2 linked regions of the Danio rerio genome follow. The protein of the gene in region 1 interacts with the protein of each later gene in a biochemical or structural test. Links are inferred from orthologs where the notes say so. Each region holds a gene or a part of one and is shown in the gene's direction. Other genes may lie near its edges.

Region 1 (3,657 bases):
GGTGCTTCCCATTGTAAAGTTCAAAAGCAAAAAGGGAAGAAATACCAATGCATAGCGTATGATATTTTGCCACAGCCAGAGCCTTTTCTTTTAACCACTTTAAGTTTCAATTTATAGTCTTTTCTACTCATGCATTATCTAACAGACACCTGGTAGCAAGTAACACGAGTTAAAAACCACAATAAACCCCAACAAGATAAAGTACCTTTTATGCAAAACCATAGAACTTTATCTACAAATTAAATACAATAATGAGAACACGCAATGAACACAGATAGAAGTTCACATTAACTTTTTTTCATCTTTACTCCTTTCTGTCGATTCCCAATGCAAAGAATGACAGCATAGTAAAATTGAAAATTGAGTGTTGTAGCTTTGCAGATAATAAAAATTCAAATTTTTGTTTCCAAAACACCTGGTATTTTGTTTTAAAAGCTTTGTTCACAAAAAATTGAAAATTATATCATGAATTACTCTCAAACCACTGAGACCTTCATTCATCTATAGAACTCAAAGATATTTTAAATGAAATCTAAGAGCTTCCTTATCCTCCACAAACAGCAAAGTCCAAGAAAATACCTAAAAACTGAGCATATGCATTATATGCCTCAATCGAAATATTAGCAAGCTTTGAAAATACATTTGTACACGTATAAATTGAAAATAACAACTTTATTGAACATTTTCTTTTTCTCAGTGTCAGTATAGGGCAATTTGTTAGGTCACATCCGTGTACAGTGCCAATAAACATGCACAATATACTGACACTGAGGACAAGAATCTTTGACTAATGTTTTTTTTTTTTTTTTTTTTGTGCACAAAAGGATTCTCATAGCTTGTTAAAATTCTAGTTGAACTGCTGAAGGCATATGGTCTGTTTTGAAGAAATTTTTGGTACCTTTCTGGATTTCAAGGTTTTCTTTTTGAAAGTGGTCAATGGAGCTTGCTGTCAATGCAGGACGAGGGAGCTGTCAGATTTCATATCGTAATTTATATTCCAAAGATGATTGAATGTCTTGGGGGTAGGGTTGAAGGATAAATCAGTTGAGTAGCGATATTGCAATGCATGTATCTGCAATAGTCACATCGCAGGATTGGATTATTTAAAACAAATAAAGATATTATTAAATACTATTATTGTTAAATGGTTTATACATACCATGTTATTTTACATTAAATTGTTAAATTTTTGTACCTGAATACTGCTAGACCCCCCCACACCCCCAAAAAAGGCTCTACTTCTTTCAATATAGCTAAATTGTTCCAGCCTGGCTGCTGTCATTTCTTTGCTTAAATGCCCAAATCTGTGCAGTAGTGATCGTAAGTGGCAGGAGCACAAAACAAAAATCTCACTGAAAGCGCACAGCTAATTTGTATAGCAGCATGTAACTCAATGAATATATTAGAAAAATGAACATCTGAATGTACATAAAATGGCAAGTCCTCTCTGGGAACAAGTGATTAGAAGTGTGATTTGATTTGTTTTGAGTAGAACACTCATCCGATTCAGGACAGATATCCCGCCACCAAGGACACACAATGTTTTGACTTCACTTTTTTTAGGATGTGTGGTGCACATATGCTTTTGAATAATATAAAACAAACTTAACTTATCATATTACATTCTTTAAGGCAGGGTTGCCCAAACTTTTTTTGAGAAAGGGCCAAAAACCAAACTTGTTTGATGCTAATGGGCTGAATGTAAATAGAATCGCCTTGGGTAATTTAAAAATGTATTTAAAAGAATTAAATATTACTAGAAAACATTGCTTTATATTAAATAATACAGTATAATTTTTTTACATTTTATAATGAAGTTACTACCGTAAAAACTACTAATTTATAACAGAATTGAGTTACAGTAGTTTTTGCCTTGATTTGCTTACTGATGTCTTCGGCTTAGTCCTTATGTACATTTTAATTATTTGAGTTTAATTAGCTTTTTTGTAGCTCAGCAATAAAACAACCCTCTCCATCACTTTACCCTCTTCCAAGATGGGATGGTGAGCCAAATCAAATGTTACAATGGGCCAACTTTGGCCCGCAGGCCCTACTTTGGGCATCTCCGATTTAAGGCAAGCACTTCTTGCACATGCATGCTGTTGCAGGCATATACTCAACACATATCGGCAAGGCATATTAGCGTGATTTTTTCAAATGTACATTTTGAGACATAGTTGACCAATGCTGATGATGTTCCATTTCCTGTAATATTGTGGATCCCTAAAAGTAATGGTGTAAAATAAAATTTTGTTTAAAAGAAATTGTATTGTTACATCCATAGCTAACTTTTAAAAGCAAATCAGTTTTAATCTTCTGAAGAGACATGAAGTTATAAATTAAGGATTTTATTAACATATAACAATTGATCATCTGACATATGTTGTAAATATTGTAAACTTGACTCTCAATTGTACTTGATTGACGTGAGAATTAATGAGGCTTGGTCTCATGTCCCACTAGCACATTTGATCTTCCATATGAACCAGTAAGGTGTTAATCAGTATTTGTAAGTGAATAAAAACCTAAATGAAATCTGTCCATCAAGTCCATTTCAGGAGACTTGCTTTAAAGCACTTGATTCGGATTGATTACATTTAAGCATAACTATTTTGAAGGACTTTCAATGAAAGAACAGAAATCCAGTTCCATTAAAATACCTTCATTTGTTTTTTTTTGTTTTTTTGTTGAGCTTTTGTTGGATGAACTATTCCTTTAATTAAAATCTATAACATGCTTTTGTTCTATCTTGTTTTGCAGGTTTCTTGATTCAAAGCATAAAGATCATTACAAGATATATAACCTGTAAGTGTGTTTCAAAAACTTCAGTTCTGTGATATCGGTTTTGTAAATGGGTTTCATCAAACTGCTTTTACTGCTAGAATGTTCTGAAAGCTGCAATCATGTTCACTTGAAGATTAAGGCGGCTGTTTGATCGTTGTGAATGGAGGGCTTTGTCATTGCACATAGATCCCTTACTTAACTCCGATTGTTCTGTTGGTTTTGGCATTGGTGCAAAGTTCTAAGCAGAAAAGTATTATGTTGAACTTGTGTACTTATCTGCTTTACTTTGTGTTGTTTAGATGTGCAGAAAGACATTACGATACTGCCAAATTTAACTGCAGAGGTAAGAGGCTTGGATTGCATAAATGTCAGTTTTTGTGTGGTAACGTTGATGGTCTCTCAATGATCTCTTTATTTATCTTTTGCAGTTGCACAGTATCCATTTGAGGATCACAATCCTCCTCAGCTAGAGCTCATTAAACCTTTCTGTGAAGATTTGGATAAATGGCTCAGTGAAAATGACAATCATGTGGCTGCCATTCACTGCAAAGCTGGAAAGGGAAGAACGGGTGTCATGATTTGTGCGTACTTGTTACACCGAGGCAAATTCAAAAAAGCACAAGAGGCTCTGGACTTCTACGATGAAGTTAGGACCAGAGACAAGAAGGTGAGAAATATATATGAACATATTTCTGCTTTGCATTTTGTTTTTAAAAAAGTTGATATGCAGATTTTGTATACAAATGTGAAGCCCAAAATAGTTTCAGATTTTGATTAGCTAGCGCAGTGTTCCCCAACCCCGATGGACGGTACCTGTCTGTGGATTAATTGGTATCCACACAACAAAAATCATTAATTTTCTGTTTTATTTAT
Region 2 (4,011 bases), on another chromosome or scaffold:
AAAAAACATATAGTCTCCAGATTAACAAGAATCATTTGATGGCAAATTAGAAGATTTATATAATGCCACTATAGGCTGTACTGTACTCATTTTTCATCAGGATGTTTTGTCAATAAAATGTTATAGAATTGACTTTTTAAGTATTGAAATAAGTACGGGAAATTCAAATTTTGAATGGATTTGGAATTGGATTTTAAACCTGGGACAATGGGTATTATTAGGAATCTCTTCATTTTGTGCAACTATAAAAGTTGGCAGAATGGAATGCTTCCAAACTTTAAAAGATAAGTTTGGTTTTCTAAAACAAAACCTATTTAGATATTTACAGTTGCGGGACTATTATATGAAAGAAATACAGGATGAAAATTGGAACAATCAGCTTGTTTAGATTTTCATTCAGACGTACAAGAAGAGAACGACTAAAACATTTTCTAAATTATATAGAGTAATAAGTCATTAATGTTTAGTTGAACTCAGAATTATTAGCCCCCCTGAATTATTACCCCCCCCATATTTGTTCCCCAATTTCTGTTTAAAGAAGAAAATATTTTTTTTTCAACACATTTCTAAACATAATAGTTTTAATAACTAATTTCTAATAACTGATTAATTTTAACGTTGACATGATGACAGTAATTAATATTTGTTTAAGAAAAGTAAACAAAAACCACTCAAACACAGTAATTTGAGTATTTGTAATTAGTTTGTTCGTTTCCACTTGTTTGTTTCCACTGGTTATATGATCCAAAAAAAAATCTATAAAAACTAGATATAAAAAAAGAAATAAGTTTGGCAGTTTCATTTTTATGACAGACACACACACACACACACACACACACACACACACACACACACACACACACACACACACACACACAATGGATAAACAATTCTTTACGAAAATGGTTCATCTGTGTTAATTACTGTGACAAAGTGACCATGTTAGTTTTTGCTACATCAACCCCAGTTCAAGAAAAAAGAAAGAAAGACTTGCATATTTGTTACTACTGTTAGCTTTTAGTAATAAAACAAACAAATAAACCCATGCATACATATAAAATTGGAGATAGAGGACTGCTACCTCTTAATACAGTATTAATTGCAGCACCACAATGGGTCTCATCTGTGACATGTATATTTACCTTGCAGTATTTGGGTTTACCAAGATGTCATATTTCTCCTGTTCTTTCAGGGAGGTCATGTTACCTCACTTTACGTCGAGCACCATCTCTCTTTGTATGTGCATTATATCACAGGTAAAACATAATATGAAGAATTCGTTCAAATGTTTATATATTAAAATTGCACAATATTAAGATCTGTAATCGATTATTGAAATAATAAAATGGGTTTACTTTTAGGGCTTTTATTTTCTTAACTACATACTTCCGGCCGCCGTGTGAACTATAAAAATGACGTAAGAGCTTTTCCGGTCCTCTTTCATGCCTCTCTAAAATCAAGATGGTGAGTTTACCAATCGTTCAGTCAGAGGCTAGTCCTGTATTCTGGCTCGATCTTTACGATACGGCGTATTATCTCGCCGGGTACGCGTTTCGGAGTGAAGTTTATTCATTCATCAGCAAACACTAATCGGTTTTTAGGCAAATTAACCCATTGAAGCGATAAAACGCCTGAGGTGTCTACGCATGTAACGTTACACTAAAGCATCGTACGCATTCACAACTATTACATTTAAACGTAATGCATCTACAAGTTACGCCTTTACGCACGCAAACATAAAAGTGATCTTTTTATATATGTATTTCAAAATTGTAAAGTTAAAATTAAATCACCACACTATATCATTTAATACACAATAGGCCTTATTGCATGTTAAATGAAAAGTGTATCATAACACATAATTTTTATTGTGTTTTTTTATAGCAATTGCAGTATGTAAGTTTATTTCAAAGCGTTATAAAGTAAATATATAATTTTAAGTAACATGCCCAAGCCTGAAATGAAGTAAATCAGTGTTTTTAGGTTGTCCCCTGAAAACCACTTCTCATTGTACTTTTCCACATCTTAGACTAAGAAGAGGAGGAATAACGGTCGTGCTAAGAAGGGACGAGGGCATGTCCAGCCCATCCGCTGCACAAACTGCGCCCGCTGTGTGCCCAAGGACAAGGCCATTAAGAAGTTTGTCATCAGGAATATTGTGGAGGCTGCTGCAGTCAGGGACATCTCTGAAGCCAGTGTGTTTGATTGTGAGTAAACAGTTGCTTTAGAAAATGAGGACACTGATTGTGTCCCTAGTGCCCTTTTGAAACTATTGTTTTAGATGTCTCCTACAATAGATCATCAAAGATCAAAAATCGTATAATACAGGTGGCAGCATCCAGTCTAAAATGGTCCATTCCACGATCCAATCTTTCTAATCCTTTGCTTTTTGAGTGCCTGTTCAGATTGGCCAGTCTGCTGTGATGAGTCAACCACTTACAACAAATGTTGGAAGCCATAGTCATTCTCATATCTCTAGGGTGTTCAAACTAAAATCCTGGAGCACCACTGTCCTAAAAAAAATTGGTTTCAGTTACAATTAAACACACTAGCTTCCAGGCAGTTGGCCCTAAACTCTACAGGATATAGTTTAGACACCACTGCCATAATTTAATTTCTCTGGAAGCTTTCTCTACACTTTCAAATACAGTGATATGAGCTGTAACAGTAGTGCCCGTTTTACTGTAGCAATTTGATCTGCAGACTTCGTCCTTTGGGAGTGCTGATAAGTTAATTAGCTGTTGCAGCAAAATAAGCAGCATCTCAACACAACAGGTTGTTTATAAGGCTCAAAGTTGACATTGTTTACTTCGCAGGCTTTGAAGACCATTCAAGTATGAAATTATGCTAATTTGCTAGAAACCTACATACATTTGTGCTTATTTTTTCAGGGAGAGATTAGTTATGTATTGTGCACTTTGATCATTGAAGCTTTGCAGACTAAGATTTATAAAAGGTTACATTACATACTACATGATGCATGGCAAAGCATGACAGAGGCATTGTACAATATTAACAGTTATGTTTTGTTTTTGTGCAGCCTATGTTTTGCCCAAACTCTATGTGAAGCTGCACTACTGTGTCAGCTGTGCCATCCACAGTAAAGTGGTGAGGAACCGCTCTCGCGAGGCCAGGAAGGACCGTACACCACCTCCACGCTTCAGGCCTACTGTAAGTCTGGTCTTCACATCAGTGTTACAAACATGAATAAATAAAACATGCTATTTTATGCTTTTTTATCTATATGTAACTGTTTTCTGTTTCTTTTTCCAGGGTGGTGCCCCAAGAGCTCCTCCAAAACCAATGTGATCTGGAGCCGTTTACATAATTTTTTTATGTAAAGAAATAAAATTGACTTAAATGTTAATGTGTTCTTTTGTTATTGGTTACTAAAGTTTACCGAAATGCATTTTGAATAGACAATACTACAAATTTTGTTCATATTTTTTATTACCTATTTAAACGCTCAGTTCCATAAGTGGGATGTTTTTCAGTATATTGTGTTACCTTGATAAACTACAGTAGTCAACATTTGAAGTGGATTAAAACCTTTCCTTAAAGTGGAACTGAAACTATACTTGTTCTTTTTATGATCCACCTAAATGTTGACTACTATATATCATGCATTGTTCAACCATAAAAATGGGCTGACCATTAAGGGGTTACGTTTTTGAATAAATGAATGGTAAAGCATTAAATTAGGAATAACCTAATGTATTACAGATAAAGGTGGTGCAGCGGTTAGCACTGTTACCTCACAGCAAGAAGGTCGCTTGTTCGAGTCAGTTGGCATTTCTGTGTGGAGTTTACATGTTCTCCGTGTTCGCATGGGTTTCCTCTGTGTGCTCTGGTTACCCCCACAGTCCAAAGCTATGCGTTATAGGTGAATTGAATAAACTAAATTGGCTGTAGTGTATGTGTGTGTGCATGCCAGAATGTATGGTTGTTTCCGAGTGCTGGGTTGTGGCTAGAAGGGTATCCGCTTGGTAAAACATATGCTGGATAAGTTGG

Evidence for each region. The genes of interacting proteins can lie anywhere in the genome.
Region 2: the proteins of ptenb (region 1) and rps26 form a complex in vitro, tested with the Homo sapiens proteins (2 studies listed by BioGRID). The link is inferred for Danio rerio from reciprocal best matches to the Homo sapiens genes PTEN and RPS26.

The regions. Positions count from the first base shown.
Region 1 is NC_133187.1:19,011,010-19,014,666, reverse strand, and holds part of ptenb (phosphatidylinositol 3,4,5-trisphosphate 3-phosphatase and dual-specificity protein phosphatase PTEN), read left to right. Parts: intron 1-2,760; coding exon 2,761-2,805; intron 2,806-3,083; coding exon 3,084-3,127; intron 3,128-3,212; coding exon 3,213-3,451; intron 3,452-3,657. UniProt on the Homo sapiens protein: Dual-specificity protein phosphatase, dephosphorylating tyrosine-, serine- and threonine-phosphorylated proteins.
Region 2 is NC_133198.1:30,595,801-30,599,811, forward strand, and holds rps26 (40S ribosomal protein S26), read left to right. Parts: upstream 1-1,450; 5' UTR 1,451-1,461; coding exon 1,462-1,464; intron 1,465-2,029; coding exon 2,030-2,207; intron 2,208-3,040; coding exon 3,041-3,171; intron 3,172-3,273; coding exon 3,274-3,309; 3' UTR 3,310-3,367; downstream 3,368-4,011.